Drosophila melanogaster: one gene and its partners. The protein of the gene in region 4 interacts with the protein of the main gene of each other region in a pairwise test. Each region holds a gene or a part of one and is shown on either strand. Other genes may lie near its edges.

What was found.
Region 1: the proteins of CG7945 (region 4) and CG7970 interact in a two-hybrid assay, tested with the Drosophila melanogaster proteins (one large-scale study listed by BioGRID).
Region 2: the proteins of CG7945 (region 4) and CG15564 interact in a two-hybrid assay, tested with the Drosophila melanogaster proteins (one large-scale study listed by BioGRID).
Region 3: the proteins of CG7945 (region 4) and trsn interact in a two-hybrid assay, tested with the Drosophila melanogaster proteins (one large-scale study listed by BioGRID).

The regions. Positions count from the first base shown.
Region 1 is NT_037436.4:1,650,994-1,656,089, forward strand, and holds CG7970 (uncharacterized protein), read left to right. Parts: upstream 1-1,806; 5' UTR 1,807-1,882; coding exon 1,883-2,050; intron 2,051-2,137; exon of another isoform or gene 2,138-2,148; coding exon 2,149-2,261; intron 2,262-2,323; coding exon 2,324-2,582; intron 2,583-2,641; coding exon 2,642-2,869; 3' UTR 2,870-3,245; downstream 3,246-5,096. Other genes in the region: CG13920 (uncharacterized protein), read left to right, coding at 1-140; Vta1 (vesicle trafficking 1), read right to left, coding at 644-1,271, 1,339-1,489, 1,574-1,635, 1,697-1,806; Srrm234 (Serine-arginine repetitive matrix 2/3/4), read right to left, coding at 3,568-3,733, 4,261-4,467, 4,532-5,096.
Region 2 is NT_033777.3:31,231,403-31,237,924, forward strand, and holds CG15564 (uncharacterized protein), read right to left. Parts: upstream 3,961-6,522; 5' UTR 3,880-3,960; coding exon 3,697-3,879; intron 2,819-3,696; coding exon 2,702-2,818; intron 2,637-2,701; coding exon 2,360-2,636; intron 2,303-2,359; coding exon 2,145-2,302; intron 2,076-2,144; coding exon 1,986-2,075; intron 1,929-1,985; coding exon 1,218-1,928; 3' UTR 1,013-1,217; downstream 1-1,012. Other genes in the region: CG15563 (uncharacterized protein), read right to left, coding at 542-892; qless, read right to left, coding at 5,826-6,047.
Region 3 is NT_033778.4:10,477,584-10,482,275, reverse strand, and holds trsn (translin), read left to right. Parts: upstream 1-2,164; 5' UTR 2,165-2,237; coding exon 2,238-2,312; intron 2,313-2,365; coding exon 2,366-2,453; intron 2,454-2,519; coding exon 2,520-2,616; intron 2,617-2,678; coding exon 2,679-2,794; intron 2,795-2,850; coding exon 2,851-3,182; 3' UTR 3,183-3,265; downstream 3,266-4,692. Other genes in the region: Pef (peflin), read right to left, coding at 687-913, 986-1,049, 1,107-1,186, 1,734-1,953, 2,013-2,021.
Region 4 is NT_037436.4:15,520,768-15,526,700, forward strand, and holds CG7945 (uncharacterized protein), read right to left. Parts: upstream 3,371-5,933; 5' UTR 3,066-3,370; exon of another isoform or gene 2,951-3,065; coding exon of another isoform or gene 2,745-2,950; intron 2,698-2,744; 5' UTR 2,449-2,697; coding exon 2,201-2,448; intron 1,814-2,200; coding exon 1,793-1,813; intron 1,736-1,792; coding exon 1,593-1,735; intron 1,429-1,592; coding exon 1,052-1,428; 3' UTR 944-1,051; downstream 1-943. Other genes in the region: yellow-k, read left to right, coding at 1-881; CG33986 (uncharacterized protein), read right to left, coding at 3,565-4,382, 4,441-4,456; CG33985 (uncharacterized protein), read right to left, coding at 5,145-5,363, 5,426-5,933.

The DNA of each region.
Region 1 (5,096 bases), about 14 Mb from region 4:
CGTTCGAGCGCTCCGGTCCGGCGCTGGTCTTCACCTTCATGCTGGGCGGACGCCTGGTGGTCTGGTACCAGACCGCCCGCCTCCAGGACGAGGCCACGACGGCAGCGCAGCCTGCTGCGAACGGCGTAAAGCAGGACTAGGTGCCTGCTACCGGTGCATCACGTACTCATAGTCATTCACTGATCCAGCTTTGTTTTAGCACCTTAAGTTGGGCTCGAGATGGCGCGCCCTGTCTGCGGGTCTCAAATTCATTCACATCATTCTAGCAAATCGAAATTCATGTTTTCACTTTGGTGCCAAATTATTATCGTATACAGAACTACTATATTGTATGCAATGGCGAGAGATATTAACTAAACTGTAGACGCGACCAGATCAAACCAGAATGTAATCAAATCCTCTTCGTAACGGGCACTTAGTCGGAACCATTTAAATTACGACTTTAGAAACAATTTTAATAAATTTGAACAACTCATACATATTTAAAATTAATAATCCAACGTCAGTCAATCTGAATTTCGTTTTACTTTCGTCCTCAAACGAGCGATTAGCAGGAGATTATGCGGCATTATACTGGTGCTCTAAGCTATAACTGTGCCAAGGAAGCGATTCCTAAATACGTGTGAATGTGGATGTGTACGCCCTACTCGGACCCGGTGCTCAGCAGCTTCAGGGCCTTCTGCAGGTTCTCGATGGCTGTCTTGACGTCGTCGTAGTTGAGGGCACTGCCGGCGTACTTGCAATACTTCTGGGCGGTAATCATTTGGTCGGGAGTGATTTGCACCCCGGCCACGGGCACAATGGGCTGGTAAATGGTGGCCGCCGTGGCCGGATTAGGCTGAGCTGTGGGCACGTAGGGCACAAAGCCGCCCGGCTTCTCCTCGTCCACCGGTGGACTGGGCAATTTGTTCGGGTTGTTCAGCACCTCCTCGGCGGTGGGAGGGACCACTCCGGAAGTTGTCGGTGATGATGGAGCTGGTGGCTGTGAGTCAGGCTCCGGCTGGTAGGGCGCTGGAGCAGCTGCTCCCGCGGCGTCCTCCGGCGATGTGTCTGCCGAGGCGTTGGCATTCTCCCCCTCGAGCTCCGCCTCATCGTCGTCGTCTGGCAAGGGGCCGGGAATCGGTGTCTCACCGTTCTTCAGGCAATTGTGGATGTAGGCGGCCTTCCACTTGGCGTACTTCCTGTTGTGCAGCGCCTCTTCGCTCAGTTCACCGAAGGTCTGGAGAATGTCGTAGAGCACACCACTGGAGTAGAAGGCCTTAACGACGTTTCTGCGAAGAAGCACAATCTTATGAATCAGGAAAATCGATTCAGGGTATTTCTACGAAGGGAACGCACTTTCCGAAGTTCTCCTCGCGATCCTGTTTGTCGGCGTACAGGAATAGTTTCAAGGCGTAGTTCTCGATGTGTGCCTGGGCAGCCACCTCGTTGGTGATGGCCTCGTTCTCAGCATACTGTTTCTTCATCTGCTCCAGCCAGTCCATGATGCCTGGCGGTCGTAGGGAAAACCAAAACAAAACAAACCACGGATGAGTCATAGGCTGGTAATATGCGTATCGGATTTTTCACTCACCCAGCAGCAGTTTGGTTTCTTCACCCGTTTGGGTGGAGGCTTTGAGGCCCACCTGGAGAGCACTGGATTCGGAAGATGAGTAAATACGGGCAAAACAAGAAAAACTAATCTGTAGATACTCACTAGAGTCTCGCCCAGTAGGCGATGACCACATCCCGGGTATCATGTTCCTGGGCCAGCTTCAGAAAGTGTTGGATGGACTTCAGCGAGGGAGGACAAGGCGGAAACTCCATCGTGGTGGAAAGAGGGCTTAATCTTTAGTTCTATGCTTAATTACGGATCTGGAAAATTATGCCGACAACAATGGAAATGACGAGCACGCAGAGTGACCAGATATCGCAGTTTCTCGAATGCCATGGAACCACCCCAGTTCCAAACTCTGGAACTAGCGAAATACTAAAGTTTGTACCTTCGGCTAAAGTTGTTGGTTCGGCGCTCAGTTGCGAATCTGCGACCAAAACGTTTGGAGTTTCTCAGGTAAGCACTGGACTCTGGGAACTGGTTTTCGCTGTTATCAGTGCGACCAGTTGCACTTTGCACTTTGACCTGCATCCTTCACACCAGTCACATTCCAGGCACATCTCTGCACCACCGGCAACATGGTTCTCTCCAAGCCCCTGTACTCGCTCTTCGGCACTTATCTGGAGCAGCTCTTCAACCACCCGGTCCGCACCAAATCCATTACGGCGTAAGTACACTATTCGCCTTATCATCCGGTTCGCCTCACCCACCGGCTGCTCCTTACTGCAGATGCGTTCTGGCCACCTCGGCTAATGTCACCTCCCAGCGTTTGGCGGGCGCCAAGACCCTCAACCAGCAGAGCGTATTCGCCTACGGACTCTTTGGACTGATCTTCGGCGGTAGTGTGCCGCACTACTTCTACACGACGGTGGAGCGACTCTTCAGCCAGGATGTGCGCTTCCGAAGATTCTTCCTGTTCCTGTCCGAGCGACTGGTCTATGCTCCGATTTACCAGGCACTGTCCCTGTTCTTCTTGGCCCTGTTCGAGGTGAGAATCCATAATCCGCAATCTCAGTTCCTAGAACTATAATTTGTAATCCCTTACAGGGCAAGTCTCCCAGCACTGCATTGAAGAATGTTGAGAAGCTCTACTGGCCTCTGCTGAAGGCCAACTGGCAGTACCTGTCCGTGTTCGTGTACCTCAACTTCGCCTACGTGCCCCCGATGTTCCGGTCCATCAGCATGGCCATCATCTCCTTCATCTGGGTGGTGTACATCGCCCAGAAGCGTCGCCGCTTCCAGGACAAGCTGGCCGCCAAAGAGGCAGCCAAATAGGCTATACGACCCTTAAACCCTGTGGTAGTCGTCTTGGCCTAATATTCCAATTACTGCTTAGATTACGGCTGAACTGCTTCAAGTTCTTTATCTTCCCGCGTTCCGGCGGATTGCAAAAAGTCCGTGTGTATTTGAACACTTTAGATAAGCTAAAACTAACTGGAGGGGCGCCTTATCAACCGACTGTTGTTATACCTTAAACCCTAAATTTTGTAAACTTTTCTTACCAAAATAAACTAATATACAATGTATAAGATATCTAGATATCCATGGCCAAATTTGGCCAACAGAAATGCTTAACAAGTAGCGACAATCGTCGATCTAACATCCCATTTCCATTGCGCACAATGGATCCCAATTTGAGAAATTCCAAGGCAACCTTTTGAGATGCAACAAATAATGTCTGTTTTTTTTTTATTAAAACGCAGCTTAGAACTAGCAAATAATCGAGCAAAGGCTTACAAACGAGAATTATTGGCTTTTTATCGGCGCTACAATATAATTTCGCTAGTAAATTCATGGGCAGATGACTAACTTAGGGCTACGGAATGCAGTGTAAAACAAGTTAAATGCGCATAACAACTATCTTAAAACTAGGATTCTGACTAGAGGAGGTGACTACGATGATGGTGATGATTGTGGGGGGCACCTGTGCCTCAAGACTCGCCGCACATCCTGCGCAGCGACGCGGTTAACACTCAGAAGGCGGCCATCGACGGACTCCGGCTGTTGCGCAGGGGCGTGAGAAGGGGCGTGGCAGGACTGCTGGCGCGGCTAAAGCAACTGGAGCAGCAACTAGAGGCATCCTCCACCTCGCCCTCGGCGTTCGCCTTGTGGTGATAGGGAATCGGTCGCTTGCGAGCGCTGAAAGCATAATGAATAGATTAGTATGGGATTCGTGTAGCAAGCTTAAAAACCAAAGGGCAAATATGAAAGTAACTCACCAAACTGAAAATCGTAAGGAATAGAAAAGCAGTGGCTAAAAATCAAACAAAAGAAATCCTATAAAACCATATAATCGGTAAAGTGACAAAGTTTATTTGCGGCTTGGCTAAATTACGAAAAATCAGGATGACACACAATTTGATAGCTACAAATATATAAAAGAAGATTGGCGAGTAGTTAAGATAATCAAATTATAAGTAGTTCCTGAGTCAGCTGAAAAAATAAAACCATTTAGAAGAAATCAAGAGTTCGTGCTGTATAAATAAGGTGTAAAATTATTGTAACTCAATCGTGTAATGGATATAAGCAGTCACTAGCGTCTTGTGCTGCGCGGCGATCGACGGCTACGAAATAAAATGTAAAGAACAAATAAAATGTAAAAGAAAACGATTATTCAAAGAAATAATGAGGTCAACCAAGGCGGGGCAGGAATCCTGCCAAGTTACCTCGTTATGCGACGTCTGTCCAGAAAGCTTGGCGAGCCGCGACGCCTTGGGATGGAGGGCGATCGAGAGCCGGACTGTGATGATCCGGAGCCGCTGCCGGAGGAGGAGCTGCCCGAGCTGCTGTTCGTGGAGCAGCTGGTGCGGGAGGAGTGCGACCCAGACCTTGAGCTGTGCGATCCGCTGCGACTGCTGGACGAGCTGTACCGCCTACGAAGAGGGATAAGATTTAGCATTAGTCTACATTTAGAAACTTGCTCAGCCAAGTACTTACGATCTCGACTCGCTGCTGGAGTCATGTCGATGATGGCTGGTGCTGGTGCGCCTCTTGCTGCGACTACGACGCTCGCGACTGCGGCTCCTACGGGCCGCACTCTCCGCCGCCGCCACGGTGGCCGTGGATACCTTGGAGACGATAGCATCCACCAGTGAGCTGTCCGCGAGCGCCGCGACTAGAGGCTGTGGATCGTGAATTTTGAAGGGTTTTATAACGATTTTCGGTTTTTGTTGGTGTTGATGGTGATGATGAAGGTAGCTAATACTATTGGCGGCCACAGCCGCAGCCGCTGCCGCCGCATTGAAGCTAATGGGCCCGCCACCACCCCGGACATGCGACGGATGGCCCAACAGCGGAGCACCTGGCCCACTCATGCCCACACCAGCTCCCGTCAGGGACAGCAGTCCCGGATGGCGCTGTCCATGGCCGAAGAGAGCCGAGTTGTAGACCAAGCCACGAGCCAGGTGGTGCGCCTGCTGCTGCTGCAGGCTGTGCTGGTGGTTTTTGCAGATGTTGTAGTGTGTGGCGGTTAGAAGGGGACCGTGGTTGAGGCGGTTTGTGG
Region 2 (6,522 bases), on a different chromosome or scaffold from region 4:
ATCGCTATGTTAAAAGTGGTTTTAATTTATTAATATATTTTATTTTTCTGTATAATTGATTGTTTTGTATTTACAAGATATTACTTATGCTATATATAAGCCAAAATGAATTATTTGTCAATATTAAATTAACAAAGATTCGAAAGAGTTCGTAGATCTATTTTTTTCTTTATTACCTATTTATTAAACTACCTACACTCTCCATCAAAAGAGATTTTGTAATTTAATTCACCACCCTGACCATATTTTTTAGTTTTCCCTTAATTTAGAAAACAACCTATTCAAAACTTTGGTCAACTTACTAGAAGCAAGTTGGCAAAATTTTCACAGAGATAGTACAAATGACATATAGGCTGATATTAATATTACTGGAATTGCGAACTTGAAGAACCTAAAATAGTAATAAATAAATAATTACTCCAGTAATGTGATTTCATGGGTCTTGGCATCGATTGATTTCTGAGCAGATGACTTAAGCGCACAAACTACGAGCCAGTCAGAAGGTGAGGGAATATCCTTGAATATCCAAGAATCCTTGGCCTTACGCCGATTCGCTGGCGCCATAGAGCAGATTGTCCAGTTTCAGTTTGTTGATCTTGTCGCCACGGGCTCCATGTCCTGGTCTGCCCCAGAACGTTTCGAATGTGTCGAAATGTTGGTTGCACAGATCCCTGTCCAGTTGCTTGGAAACGGAGACGGATCGACGGTTCTGCGAGATCTGGACATTCAGGTCGTGCAGATAGCGCATGTCGGCGGCCGTTTGAATCCTGGTTGCCGGTCGATTGGTGGGCAGCAATATTATAGTTTCATTTATATCAGTTCGATTTTTCAGATTTCGAATTTTCGATTTTCGGTTTTCAGTTCGATTTGTTTTGCACGGGGATACATACATAGAAGATTGGTATTATGATTTTTGACTTTTGCTGTTGCGGTTTGTTTGATTTTGGTGAGATTGGTATTTGGTTTGCTCGTTTGGTTGCTATACTTTCACTTGTATTACAATGGATATTTTCTTGCTGGATGAGCCGAGGAGAAGTGGGGGATTAGAGAAACCATTAACAGAACAAGATCACAAGGCAAAGGCATAGAGGGGCAAGCGGACTTTCGTTTCAATGTCTGGCGCAGAGCAAGCAAATGAGAAACGGTGGGAGCAGGGAGGTGGTGGAATGGTAGTACTATGAAAGCAGGAGGGGATCGGGATTGATAGAACGTGGGTTTCAAGCCTGGCGAATGTGCAGGGTCAGCCGCTTGAGGCAGCAGCCCGTGGCCAAGGCCGTGGGGCAATCGCAACTGCAACACTGCAGCTTGCAGTTCAGATTCTTGGGCAGCCGCTTCATGTGGCTAATGTTCTTGATGATGCTGTTGATGCACTTGATCTTGGTGGTGGTCAGCTGACAGTTCTTTGGTGGATGCTTGTGCTTGGATGCGTACCTATCGTGCGACGGTGTCCTCTTGGTCACGTCCGTGCTGGAGAGACTGATGGGTCGGTGCATGCCACGCCTTCTGGCGAGCAGGGGAACCAGCTCCACCCCACCACCTTCGCCATAGGCTCCTCCCTTTCCTCCCGCTGTGCTGGGATCCGGAGTGGCGGTACTGGTGCTCCCGGGACAGGGACCTCTCGACGCTATGCGGGGGCACAACTTGATGGGCTTGCTACCGCAGTCCTGCGGCTTCAAGTGGTGCAGCATTTTTCCGGGCGGCGGACCTGGCGGACCCGGGCACTTTTTGCCTGGCGGAATGGGAAGTGAGAGTGGCGACGGCTTGGGCGGACTCTTTTGCATGGCGGGACATTTGCAAGTGCACAACTCACAGCAGCGCTGCGGCTTTGGTGGCTTGCCTGGTCGCGATTTGCGAAAGGTGTTCTTCTCCGCGGGAGTCACCGGGTTATCTTGGTCCAACTCCTTCAGCATCTCCTTGTTCGTCCAACCCTGAAATTAGATTATATTTAAACAGTGTACATATGAGCACAAGCGACTGATACCCACCAGTGACTTCATGAACGTGTTGCCCACTTCCTTGGGACTCCGCCATGGCTTGCCGCCCGGACCCGCCTTGCCCCACGGCTCCTTGCAGGACTAGAAGGAGGACAGATAAAGAGGGATTAGTTAAACTTGGTTTCAGGGGGCGTAATAAGTGCCGCTCACCGGCTTTTCGAGTTTGGCTTGCAAGCGCTTCTTCTGAGTGGCCAGCTTTTCCTGCAAAGGACATCGCTGCTCACTCTCGCTGACTACGATCTTCTCCAGAAGCGGCTTCCCCTTGCACGGAGGAGAGGGCTTGTACCGCAATTCTATGTCCACATGGCCTTTATTGCGAAACGACATTGAAGGATGTTCTTTCAGCTCGATGTGAAGGCTCTCACCGTTGGCGTTTTTGGCCACATTGACACCAACTGCCGCTCCGGGCTTGTGCGGAATCTCCCGCTCGCAAATCGTTACGGTGCTGCTCCTGGGACCACTTTCCTGCAGGTGATGGACCGAGTGGGCGTGGCCCAGTCGGCCACCCGGCGGCGGAGCAGGCGGGGCGTGGTGGTGGTGGTGATGGTAGGCGGCCAGCGGGTTGTTGTGGCACTTCTTCTGCATCGAGAAGAAGTCGTTGTAGCGACACGGCTGCAGTAGATTCATTCGGTGGGCATTGGTCTGCGGCACATTCAAATTATTGGAGTAGAATATATGTTATTCGAGAAGGATTCAAGAGTCCTTACCACTGTGGGCGTCGAGTGAAGGCCAGCGGCTGTGATGTCCTTGCGTCGCACCTCTACGTTGGGTGCCCCACCACCAGGTCGACCCCAGGGACAATGTTGGTGAAACAGGTCGTAGTACTGGATAAAAGAACATTGTTGATACGAATTGATCTTCAACTTATTTCAGTAAAGATTGTGATGCTTGGAAAAATCGTTTAGGCAAACTAACGTATCCTCCGCTGAAATCATGAATCGCATTACCCGCAATAAAGTCACAACATAAATACATTAAATTACTTCCGCAGGACGATTACAACACCGAGTTATGCCTTATCGATTGGGTGGCAGCCTATTTGTGGCTCCAGACTGCCTCAACCCACCTCGTCGTGTCACTCCGCGAAGTGTGGCGATGTTTGTTTACGGAAATTGGCAAATTCAGGAGCTCCCGCTGCCCTGGCCCACAAAGTTTGTTAGTAGGTTGTTGTTATAGTTGCAGCGAACGGCGATTTGCATTTCACTGATTTTTTTCACCCACATTTCGGTTGGCGCTTTCACACAGCTGCAGGTTGTGATAGGTAGTGGAGCAAGGAGCCAGGACTCCAGTCACGCAAGGACTCGCAGGAGTTGGGCTTTTAGCCGAAGAGAGGGGATTTGATTACCGAAGTCGAAATTGTCAAAGGGTTTGTTGAACCAGATCCGCGGGGGCGGATGCCTTACATGTTGCTTGAGGCAGGTCTTTGAACTTACCAAAAGTTGCAACTATTGCGTGGCGGATGGTTCGAGATGTTTTTCGATTGTCATTTCGTTCGTTTCTGGTTTTGCCTTAGACTTAGACAAAGAACTTGGAACTTGGTGAATTGATTATGGCCTTTAAAGTTTTAAAACTAATATATTTAGGGTTCAGAGTTCCAAGCTTAAGGTGTTTCAGGTAACTACTAACAACTTTGCTTGGGGCCCTAAAATATAACTCATACGCACGGTCTGGAAATATCACACACATACGCACTGTTACCCACCTCCTGCTTATCCTTCTCCTTGCGAGCACACTCCTCCGCCTTCCGGCGCCGCCACATGCGAAGACTCTCCTCTGCATTCTTGCGCTCCACAAGACGCTTCTTCTCATCGCACCACATCAGCGGATGCTGGATGTGGTCGTGGCAGAAGTTGCCCCCCATGCCCATTTCATCGCTAGTCGTCATGGCTCTCTGAATGCTCTGGAGATCCTATCTGGATGTTTGGGAAACTGGTAGAACGAGAACAGAAGTAGCGCTGCGTTCAGCAAACGCGGCGTTACTGAATCGGTCTCGTGTCCCATCCAAGCCGTTTAACCGCCGAATTGGCTGCCAGGATCCGTGCCAGGCACTAAAGGGCCGTGGATGATGGGTCGGTTGTCTAGGCAGCACGCCCGACTATTTATAACCTAGGTTAAGGCACACTTCGGTCGTCTGTCCTTGAAGGCGAGTCGAAGGATATCGAAACCTCAGCTAATTTGGTCTGGCTATTTAAATATTTCGCCAGTTAGACACGATGTTTGCCTGCTCCACTTTGCTAGACTGCCTGGACATAAAATATATTGACTTTATGTTGCCTGGAAATAATGCCACGGCTGCGTTGGCTTAACCTGAATCGTGATGCTCTGTTTTAATGAAACGCAAAAGTAAGCCTACTGCAGTATAGCGTGCCACTTAATACGAAACTTGTTGATGTTTTAAAATGAAAAGCTCTTGCAAGCCTAAGCAGCAAGCATTACTCATACGCCCCGTGTGGCAGTTACAATTTCAGCCAGCAACTCACACCGCCAAATTTATTTGTTTGCCCCAATTTCGGTTTCAGCCATGCCCGTTGCAACATAAGGCATTTTGGCCATGTCCAAAACTATTTCACTGGGTCAACCTGGTTGGTGGTTAATATGTTGCATAGCTACAAGCGGCGAAATCAGCTCCAATTTGCTTGTTTTACAAAATCGAATTTTTATTCATCTCATTAGGTATACAAATATCGTAATTACATGTATCAATATCAACATCTGTATCATTATTTTGTCGTTCGCACTCTAAAATATGTGGGTATATCGTCGTCAGCACCCAATTGTATTGATTAACTAGCCAGCAAATTTCTGCATTATATCTTTCATTTGCCTTTCTTTCAGTGTAGAGCAGGCTGTAAAGGAGCCCAATGAATTTGCATCAAAACTAAACGGACAAAAAAACGAATTTCGCTGACTAACTTAACTGAGGTTGTGTTTATAAATTAAAATAAAAACTTACATCTAAAAAGATTTGTAGAACATTTCAACATTTGGGGTTTGCGGTTCGAATTCGTTTCAAATGTCTTTTAAATTACTATTGCATTAGAGGCGGAGAAGAAAGATTTAAAATTAAGACTGGGCAGCATTGTTTCACATACAATCCTCGTTACATTTCTTATAGAACATATTATAATATGCATTTCATGCGCGAATGGTTCAAAATATTTTATTTAATCCAGCTAAACTACGGGCTTTCCACTTTAAGTTACAAGTTTGTGCGGTCGGAAGGGATTTTAAACAGAGTGCAGGCAATGACCATTGAACCATTTAGGCATGAAATGCCCTAAATCAAGTATTAATATAAAATAAACCAATTATGCTCCTCGTGCTTCGTATTAAAAATATCGCTCTACACACTGGCTTTCTTTGTTGCATTGACTAATAAACATTTTCATTTTAAAGTAGATTCCACATTTGGTGCTCGCCTGGCAACCCATTTCCATTCATTTATTTGATGAAATGTTTGTACAATTTTCTCGTTTCCCCTATTGTTGTTGGCTTTTGGCTCATGTTTCGCTCTCTATACATATAAATAAATTTGTCGAAAAACATTGCATACAAAATTTGTCAAAAATTCATTAAACATCTTGTAATTATGTTATGTACAGCGATCGTTGCCATTTAGTGTGTGTTGATTAGGTTTTTTTATGCAATTATTTACAGTGTCAACAACAAATGCCTAAAAACTAAATAATAATTCTTGTTTACAAATTGGCCCGCCGGCTGAACAGGACTTAATCCAAACATCAATGGGCCTACATAACAATATTATTATTAATATTATTATTATTGCATTACGTGTATGGTTTATGTTAGGGTGTTCGGGTGCTCGGTACTCTACTTCATGCGGTTGATGACTAAGTCGGCGACCACCTGGAGACCCTTCTGGTAGGGCGACTCCGTGAGCTCCTGGGCCAGCCGTATCGCCTCGTTGCAGTGCTTCTTGGCCAGAAACCGGGTCTGCTCCAGACCGTGCGACTTGTGCACCAGCTCGAAGGCGCGCTCCACGTCGCCGGGCTCGCTGAAGCGCCGCATCACCATGGGATTCAGCTCGGGGTACTGGAATGTACGGAAAAGGCATTTCAATTATGCAGGTTATGCAGTTTGCAGCTATGTAGCGGCTTTAAACGCACTGCACGCGTGCACAGCCCGCGGAATGCATAGCAAATGGGCATTGGTAATCGGTGGCAATTGATGAGTTACAGTCGCATTGTATCATCTGCGCATCTAGCCAACCACCCACCCACATGACATCATCACACCTTCACCGCCCGCACCATGAATACATCATCGTTGCGATGGCGCGAAGCCACTTTGGATGCATAGCAAATAGACATCTGGACAAAGAGACAGCTCAATCTAGCTCATATATACACAGAGAAAAATGGTAACTCAATCTAAAAAGAAAACACGTAGGTATGCAGACATATGAATTTAAGTGTGGCATACTTTTATACACCTACGATTTACGACTTATGTTGCATTATAACGATTTTTCTCTGTGCACAACGAAACAGCTTAGATTGGTTGGCAA
Region 3 (4,692 bases), on a different chromosome or scaffold from region 4:
ATTCGTTTCATATATTTATGGACTTTAAGACTGAGTTTATTGTATCTTAAAAATTATTAACCCATGACCAAAAAAAAAACAAAAAAATTGGAACATTGTACGATTCCCAAACCAAAAACCAAACACTTATTATGCCTAAATGTTTTAACTGATATTAATGTTTGTATCTTACCATTAAGCTTGTGTGCCGTCACATTGAATCGCCCGATATTTTATGATTGTATACTTAATAAGATTATAATTCCTAACTGCATATCACGTGGTCTTCACCGATCGACGAAGACACGATTACGAACTGTGGGCAGTGTGACTGCTAAAATAAGACATGATTTTATAATGAACTTTTCATATACAATGTTTACATTTTAAATAAAACGCAGATATCTTTTAATTTTTAAAAATACGTGTGTATAGTTTATTATTAGGCGCAAGAGACTTTGTACTATGATTATTGAGTCGAACTGCGTTAACAAATACTTTTGAAATTTGATTCTGATACCAGGAGATTGCAATATGACTGTGGAGTGATTCATTTACATATTAAAAAGCTAACACCGTTGAAAATTTAAGAAAAATGCACCAGTCGCGAAATTTATGATCATCCACTGTTGGCTGTAGTGTGTGTGTGTGTGTGTGCAAGACTGTGGAGATGCATTCCCATGGAGCGGTTGCATTGAATCATTCTTTCAATACGAGCAGCCAATGGCCACGGTGAGGAAGTCCTCGAACCCAATGGTGATGGTTCCATTCTGCTGGGTGTCGCGCTGCCTGAAGGCCTCCGTGAAACGCTGCACCTGCACGCAGAGCACTATGAACTGATCCACGGACACCTCTTTGTGGCCCTGGGGGTCGCTCTTCTTCACCAGGAAGTTTATGAATTCGGGCGAGAATCGAAAGCCCATCTGGGTGAAGGCTGCCAACAAGTTTGGTAATTAGTGTAAAAGGCCATAAAGGAATTGGAGATTCAGTTGTTGTGTTAGCTTACCTTGGGTCAGCTCCTGTTCCTCGATATGTCCAGAGGAGTCCTGATCGTAGGTCTTGAAGACTTGCTGCAACAGTGATACAATGAGTCAGACTACTTAGTTTCGATATAAGAAATACCTTACCAGCCATTGGTTGATGTAGTTGTAGAGCTTCTCGAACTCATAGATATCGATGGTACCACTGGCGTCGTTGTCGAACATGCCTGTTGAGTAAATTAAAAAAGGCGATAAAAATACAACATAAATCGCAGGGTAAACAAACGGAAAAGTGTCTGGCGCTCCAGGTGATCTAAACAAATATGCATGTACCCTAAATTGGGGCAATAAATACAGTGAAACATTTATAGCCGAAAGTATAACTAAATTGATACTGACTGTCTGTTAGGGGAGTACTGACGTCACAGTTTCCGGAAGGGGAATCGAAGGAATTTTAAAGTATTTCATAACTGAAGCTTACTTAGCTATCATCAGCTCACAGGATGATCTAAATATATGTGCCCATGTGCCCTTCATTGGTTCTTGGCATACAGCGGGTGTGCTAGGCTACGCATAGAAGATTCAAATCGACAACCTGTTCTTGTGTTCTTGTGTTACTATATTGCCTACCAAACTAGTTTAGCTTATGATCGTCTTTTAGAGGGTCTACTGTATAGTATACAGTGTATACACGTTTGTTAGTGTTCACCTACTGACGTCACAGTTCCTGTAGAGGAAACTTTGGGATCTTTTTTGGGCAGGGCTTAAGCTTACTTATCATCAGCTTGCAGGCATTATCCGAGAAGTGATCGCCACGCCCATTCACCAGGGCCGCCTGCAACTCGGAAGCGTTTATCTTTCCAGATCGGTCGCGGTCCACCATGGAGAACCATTGCTGTGCCTGCGGAGACACCTGGGCATTCTGCGGCGGAAATGCTCCTGGCGGCGGGGCATAGCCACCACCGGGCTGGGCATACGGGTTATAGCCTTGTCCCTGTGGATAAACGGTAGTAAGTACATTTAATCCACTTTCTTAAGCATAAACACACTCACATAAGACATTTTGTCACGAGCCTAGTTCGATTCTAATTGGAACTTGAGGGACAAAACAATTTTAATGAAACTACAGATGACAAGAAGGGCGTTCACCAACACTGGTTTGGGCAAGCGATAACAATGTGACATATCGATAGCATTGCTAGACTTATTGCTTGGCTATACTCCCATCCCTATCGCCGGTATAAACAACTAACAAAAGCAGCAAAACATTAAGCAAAAATGTCGAACTTCGTGAACTTGGACATCTTCTCCAACTACCAAAAGTACATAGACAATGAACAGGAAGTCAGGGAGGTGAGTTGACGGTTAATATCCTAAAAACCACCATCTTAAACCATTGTTTTTAGAACATCCGCATTGTGGTGCGCGAAATCGAGCATTTGTCAAAGGAAGCGCAGATTAAACTGCAGATTATTCATAGCGATTTGAGCCAGAGTAAGTTCTGTACAATTTGGTAGCTTGTATGTTTTGTTCTAATATGACATTATACTTGAACAATAGTTAGTGCCGCCTGCGGCTTAGCCCGCAAACAGGTTGAGCTGTGTGCCCAAAAGTACCAGAAATTGGCCGAACTGGTGCCAGCTGGGCAGTACTACAGGTGAGTCAGATGGTGAAATCCGTGGTGTCTATTGTGGGTGTCGAATGCTCCGCCTTCTCCAGATACTCCGATCACTGGACCTTCATTACGCAGCGTTTGATCTTCATCATTGCCTTGGTTATTTACCTGGAGGCGGGCTTCTTGGTCACCCGCGAAACAGTGGCCGAAATGCTGGGATGTAAGCTAGATTTGGAAGGCTCTCTGGATACGAAATAATAGTTAATTACTCCACAGTGAAGATCAGCCAGTCTGAGGGCTTCCATCTGGATGTGGAGGACTATCTACTGGGCATACTGCAGTTGGCGTCGGAGCTCTCCCGATTCGCTACCAATTCCGTCACCATGGGCGACTACGAGCGTCCCCTGAATATCTCCCATTTTATTGGTGACCTGAACACGGGCTTCCGTCTGCTGAACCTGAAGAACGATGGCTTGCGAAAGCGCTTCGATGCCTTAAAGTATGATGTCAAGAAGATCGAGGAGGTCGTCTACGATGTCAGCATACGCGGTCTGTCCAGCAAGGAAAAGGACCAGCAGGAGGAGCCGGCTGTTCCTGCAACCGAATAGTTTACTTCGTACGTAGGATAAGGCGTTTATTAAAATGAAAAAGTTTCATTTAAACAAGCAAATATATTACATTCATTAAACAGAGTATCATTTTATTTTACTATTTAAATCAGGAATGCTCGTAGGAATCAAATGTAGCAGGATATATGTATGTAATCCTGTGTTAAAAATCTGAAATGTGTTTTTGTTTTTTTTCAGAACACATTTCTTTACATCTTAATAGGCACCATCTTATTTTAATGATCAGTTTACACAGAAGCGAAATAGTGCTTTGAACCATAACAAAAAAACATAAGTTTGTGCAACTTAAAGGTAATTAAAATGGCTGTGCGCGTTTTGATTAAATCATAACTAAGTATACATAGAGACAAGTGCAGAAGTTTGATGGCTTAACCCTTTTGAAACTTGTTTAGCCACCACCACTGGGCCGCAGTTGTTGTTGTTGCCCCGATCATATGGTGGATTTGTTGCTGCTCTTCTTTGGCCGCTGCTTCCGTTTCGCCTTTGCTTCTGCTTCTCAGGCGCAGTTTCAGTCTCTCTTTTGCCACCGCAACGCTTACAACGTTAACATTGCGCGCGCGTCTTTGCATTTTCTTGTTTGCTGCTTCGTCGTCCGTCGTCCTTCCCGTGTTGTTCTTATTGTTTTTTCCCGCTTTGTGCGCTCTTTATTGTTTCGCCCTTTCTAGCATTTTGATTTGAAAGTGGAGACTGCAATTGGTTACCATTTCAAGAAAGTAAGTCTGGCGGGCAGTTGGCCGTGTGAAAAGTCCGTTGGCCCAGAAACTCACCCGCTCTCTTGACCACGCCCCCTTTTCCGTCCCCGGCCCGAAAAAAAAGCTAAAAACTGAGAGACTCCAACCTGTTTGGCAATAATTGGGTCACAAATCTGGTAAAAACTTGTTGCCCGAAATGGTCACTAAACAAATAGCACTGTTTTTATTACAAAACTTTAGTTGAGTCTGCAGTTGCCTTGTTGTTGTTTGTTTGTTTTAATTTTTTTATTTCGTTCCGCAGACATAGTTGTTGTTTGGTGTTTTTCAAAACACGCTTTAATCGAAGCGGTTCAAAGTCCGAAACAAGTTTCCTGAGAGGCTTAACGGGGCACGCTCTCTCCTTGTTGCTCTTTCCCCTCTTCTTACAACGCACTGAGTGGGAGGAGAGCGAGAAATACTGAGAGAGCTTTCGACGTAAACATCTGAAAAGCAAAACCACAACAGACACCCACACACTGACGGGCAGGTGTTGCTCTCTGCGTCTCTCTTTCTTCCTACCCCCATTCCAACTTTCTTGCATTCTCATTTCGAAGGGAAAATGCCAAGGAAAAGCCCAGCCGCAAACCAACAACAAAAAGTCAATATAATAAACCCAGAATCCGAGTGCTAACTGTTATGGAAAGTAGCGAAACCATTAGCTATGGACCTCCTTCATTGAGTGTTTTGCTTGCATACCCGGCAATTAAAGACTTGCAGGGTATGTGTATTTTCAATACATCAAAAAACAAAAAATAATA
Region 4 (5,933 bases):
GCGTAAATGTAGAAAGCAACGATGCGCCCACTTTGATCGAGGCGCAATGGCCGGTTTCCTATTTTCCCATGCCCACTGTCGTCTTTCCCCACATCGATGTTCATTCCATGGGGGATCATGATGATTGCTCTCTGGTACAACAGGCACACTGGTCCCAGGTGGATGCACTGAGTCGACTGTGGGTCATGGACATCGGATTTCCCGGCAGCACGTGCTCACCCCGTTTGTTTGTCTTCGATCTGATGCGTAACAACGCGGAGCTATTGAGAATCGATTGTGGACACCATATAGGTGCTAATGACACCCACTTTCTGACTGTCCAAATGGGACCCAAGAGTCCGGGATGCGAGCACGAGCGCCATATTTACTTCATCCTTGGAAAGGTACCAGAAATTCTAGCCTACGACATCCTGGAGCAGACGTGGCACCGCCTATCCTTGGAGAGCAATAAGTACGAGAATATGAATCAATCGTTTCCCATCAAGCCAGTGGATTTCATCTTCGGAATTCAAGGGGAACTCATACTCTCCGACCAGGATGGTGATCTATACAGTACGGTGGACAGACTGGAAATTGAAGGCAAAAGCGAATTAGCAAGCAAACCAATTAACAATAGCATTAAACTCACACATTTGGGCAGTCTTCTGGGCAGCAGTCGCAGCATGATCATCGACAATTTCGGAACATTGTACTATGTTATCCCCAAATTCGGAGCTGTCGTACGATGTGCCAAACTAGCCAACATCACAGCCGAGGGCAACGAAATCATATATATCACATCGAAGAACATTCAGCAGATTTTCTTCACCTCCAATGATGCATTATGGGTCCTAAGTGATCGGGTCTTGAATGCGAAGGACATGTGCTTTCCTAGCTTATAACATTTAGTTTGTTAATATAAATATTAAAATTATATTTTACTTGATTCAAACACTGCTGGCCTGGTGTATATGCTGCTTTCTTTATTATTCGTTTCATCTAGCTTGGTGATGTATTTCGTTTGGTTTGATAATAATGCTATGAATAGTTAATAGACCAAAAAACAATTTAATTAATGGCTAACAGTTTGCTTATTCAGATAAGCCATTAAGGCCTGGAGCCGCTTCTTGATGTTCTTCTGATCGTCCAGAGTGCAGCCAAGCAAAACGCTCTCGAACTTCTTGTCGACCGGCCCAACATCGGCCTCGGGCACGGTGTCCATGTGTCCGGATGGATCCATTGAGCTGCTGCAGCAGGCGTTTAAGTAAAACTGGCATCGTTGGCGTCCGATCACGGGATCACCCATCTTGATCATGCTGTCAATCAATACATTTATCTGGCTAAGGGAATCCTCCTGAGAGTTGTCCCGAACAGTGCGCACACGCAGCTCCACGGTGGCCAAGCGAGAGCTCACCCGTTGTAGGTACAAAATGATCTCCTCTCGTTCAGCTGCAAAAGAAGGTGGTACAACATTAGCTCACAGTCAACTATGAATAACCCTTTACTTAGTTTGTCATCAGAAACCATTACTTCCGACTTCGAAATAATACACATTTTAGTAAAGCTATGAACAATGAGGGTTCAAATTAGTTTTAAGAATCACTGTCACTTACCTTCGCTCATGTTCTGCATCATTTCGTTGCTCTTGATCAGATCCATGGACATCAGAAGGTAGTCTTTCTTCTCCTGCAGGTTGAGTGCATCCTTGCGCAGCTTCTCCACACGTGCATCCAAACTATCCAGTATGGTGACAAATCTGCGAGTCACTCAAAGGTTAGTCACGCTCAGTGGTTATTATAAATTCAAGATTTACCTCTCGCTGGCGTTAAATGGTCTGTCACATGTCGGTTAAGTGTGATTGCGGTTCAGTGGTTAAGTCATGAAACGAGACAAGCAACGTTAGATTGTTAGATCGCTCTGCTACAGATCGACTGACCACTTATAGAGCTACGAAATTATAACCAGAATATGTCTACAAGAAAAGGCGCTCGCACACAAAGCTCTTTTGAGAGTTGTGTGGGCGTTCGCGGCAGATACTTTAAGCTATCACCATTACTATTATGGAACAAAAGATTCGAATGAAGCTGGTAGCTGGTAGTGTGAAGAAATAATAGATAAGAAACGTATAACTTTTGTTTCGCTACGAGGTTGTGTGAATATAATCGGTGGTATTGTTTTGGTTTCGTGTCTGATTTGGTTTTAGTTATGATGGAATAACAACCTGTCCAGAGCTCTACTATCGTCGACGAGTCCGTAGGAGCTGTTCCCGCCATTGCCACCACCTCCGGATCCGGATGGGGATGAGGAGGCCATGGCATCGGCCCTCAGGTCTTGCAAATGATCAAAATTCATGGATGCCTCCGAGTGGTAATCGCTGGGCGAGATCTGATGCAGCTGCTGGTGATAAGTACTATGGTGATGATGATGAGTGTCACTGGTTTCCTGCGTTGTTGGCGCATCAACTTCCATATCCTGCGGCTGCTCCAGATTTGATTTAAACCTGTCGCCCTCCAAAAAGCCGGTCAAGTGTTTGTCACCCAAGATGGTTGGATAGCTGCCTACTGTTTCGTTTTGGGTTTTGGTTTTATCTTATTTATTTTTTTTTAGCCGCTTTGCTGGCTACTTTTTTTGGAATGTCTTAAGCTTTTTTTTTCGAGTGGGTGTCGAAGTGTTTGATGCTGTTGCTTAAGCTTAATTTTATCTGTTTTTGCTTTGAAGCTGCAATAAGAGAGAAGAGGAAGCGTGAATGCGCAGAATTCAATTACCTATCTGAATGTGGGCTGTGAAAAGAGCCTTCGGTCCAGGAGGCGTCAAAGCCATCATTGGACTCGGGCGTATCGGCTTCTATATCTTCCGGATATCGGTTTATTATCTCCGCCTCCTGGGCGGGTTGCGGCGGCGGTGGCGGCGGTGTTGTGTCCGACTCGCAGCGACGCCGTTTCCGAAAAATACCTCGAAAATTCTCAAACATTCTCGGCTGAAATCACCAATTTTCTAGAAGATTACGCCTAATTCTTCTTCTTTTCTTGTGGCAACCGATGTCTAGGAGAATCCCCGGGTGGCTGTTTTGAACTTGAATAAATTACCTGCCGCCCGAGACTTGAGGCTCCGGTTTTAATGCACCTTTGGCCCGATGCAAAAATATTGTTGATTTTTCGAGTTGGGCAGTTTGAGTTAGATGACGGGAAATGCTTGTGTTTCCAGATAATTCGTAGACACCGATTAATCTAACTTTGTTAGCTTCATTTTTGAGCACCTGGGTTGTTTACTTCGAGGGTCAATCGAATATTTCGCTTTACTTAAATGAAGATAAGTATAAATATGATTAATTTAACATTATATTGTGGGATTTGTATGACCGTGTCTGACTACCGCAAAAAAGAACAGTGGCCATATAGTCAACTTTATCGAAACCGATTCATCGAACATTGTTGTCGAAAGTTAGTGTGTACACACATTAGTTCTGGTTTTCATCTGTAATCGGCGGGAGTTTTAAAAGTAGTAGTACTTTTAAAAGAAACCTCTCTAAAAGCATTTGGTATCTCCCAAAGTTCAAAAAATTGTATGCTACATATATTAAAACTTCTATTTTATTAGTGGTGCCAAATTTAAATCTCGCACACACTGAGCCGTGCGCGACCATTGACAACTTTTGGTGGCAATATCGAAGAAGTAATAGAAAGGACATTGCTGCAGGCTGGCGTGTCCTTTGACGCAGTAGATAAAGAACTCGCATCGCTGCATATGGGGATACAGATGCTGTCCGTAGGCGGGGCAGTGAATGAGATCACTCGAAATGGCGGTGCCACCGGATGGGAAACCGGAATTTCCATTCGTTGGCATATCCTCCTGACCACCTACGGTGCACTGGGCTCTCTCCGGAATATCGCATTTACCCGTCATTGCATTCCAGTGCAATTGCGAGCTGCACTCCTGCAAGATCGCCTGTCCATAGTAGCAAATATAGTACTTTCTGCAACTACTCGAGCTGCCGACATATACAATCCTGTCGCTGGATTGTTGTTGCTCCACCAACGTGGAGCAATAAGTGGCGGCATCCGTGACCATGTTATTCGGATCTCCATCACCATTTCCGCCATCGAATGGAGGAGTCTCTATGGGATCCGTTTCATTTCTGCACTTTACATTTGTCGCCGAATCGCAGAGTCTGCTCTCCGAATTGAAGAGCATCGTTGGTGGGCAGGAAGCCAGGACTGCATCCCCGTTCTCAACGCACAGGTAAAACATGTGGCAGTCCTCCGCATGCTCCACAAACTCACCAACCAAATGATTGGCACATATTCTACTACCACTCTGCCTGATGGTCACCGAGTTTGTGGGCTTCGATGGTCTCCAGGTTAATTGCGCTGTGGCCAGCAAGCAGTTCACGATCAAATAGAAAGCTGGAAACCAATAAATTCTCATCATACTATTAGTTTTGAGAATATCCATCTTACTAACCCGTATTAAGCATCATCGTTTTTTCTATCGTCAGACTCCAGTAGAGCGCAGTTATATTCTAATTTCGTAATGCCCGGTGAACTTGGCATATATGTGATACATTCGGCGCCAAGATACAGCCGCATATGTGGCTCAGTATCAGAAAATTAACATTTTCAATTGCTTGTAGGAAGAAGTTGATAAGACTCCTGTATTTTGTTTTGCCAAAAAAGAAATATGGCTCCCTTTCCTCGCAATCAATCGATATCGTATCTCGAAATGGCAAGCAGATACAACTTTAATGCTGGATTTTTAATTTTAAAGTCTGGTGAAAAGGAAGCCGAGATTAGCTAGGAAATTGATTAGGTGATATCACGATGACATATGTTGTCCTTGTGAGGAAAATCGTATCATATCGGTCAAATTACTATGTTTCAAATCGAAGGTTGGCCTATTTTGGCAAATGTTTCGATTCAAGGTCTTCATTTTGCAGAGATATGAAAGAATTGCTTGATATCACCTGATAAATTTAGGAAAGAGTCAAGGTCGGCCGTGTTGCTTGATAGTTTTACAAAGAAGTCTTATTGATTACCAGTATTTAGGTTTATTCCATATGTAAACATACAACACTTTATGTTCAATATTTTCAATTTTTCCACAAAGCTCGTTAATTAACTAAATGTAAAATTTCGTTTTTTTTTTTTAATAAATATTATTATGTGTATTTAATAAATTTTCATTTGCATTTGCAGCTTGTTGTAGCATTTGGCTTGACCTAGTGCTACACAGGATCGCTTCTCGTAGTCCCATCCGTAGAAGAAAGGACACTGCTGGACCATCAAATAGCCAGAGCGACACTGGTAAAAGTAATTGCAGTTGTCGGAATGCGGATAAACATCGATTACATGTCGCTTGCACTGCTCCCTGGGATTATAAGTCATGGCCTGTAAATAAATAATTTATTATACAAAAATTATAAGATATGAAGTACCATAGGTTAACCCACCAAACACCTAACGTTTTCGGGATGATCGCATTTTCCGGTGAGTGAATTAAAGTGCAAACTGGTGGCACAACTCATGGGAAGTGCCACACCGCGATAGCAAATGTAATAATCTGAACAGGAGTTCTGATTTGGCAGCAATGCGATACGACTCTGATTATCCAGTTGTGGGCACACATTGGTCACAATAATCTCTATAGCAGGCGATACGGAAGTCGTACTGCTGGCTCCACTTTGATTGACTGATGGTCGTAATGTGACCACTGCCGATGGGGCTAATGTGGTGATTACAACTGTGGAAATCGTACTGGACTCCGAGGTAATCTCCGTTGAGGAGCTGTCGGTAGTGTTTTCCCTTTGCACCTCCGATCCCGTGCGACAGTCGATATCGCCCATGGGCTCACACATTTCCATATCTTGACTAAAGTATTCGCCATCCTCGCATTCACCATCGTATGACTCATCGCCGTTGCAGAAGATATAATGTGCGCAACTCTTTGGCGAAGTAACA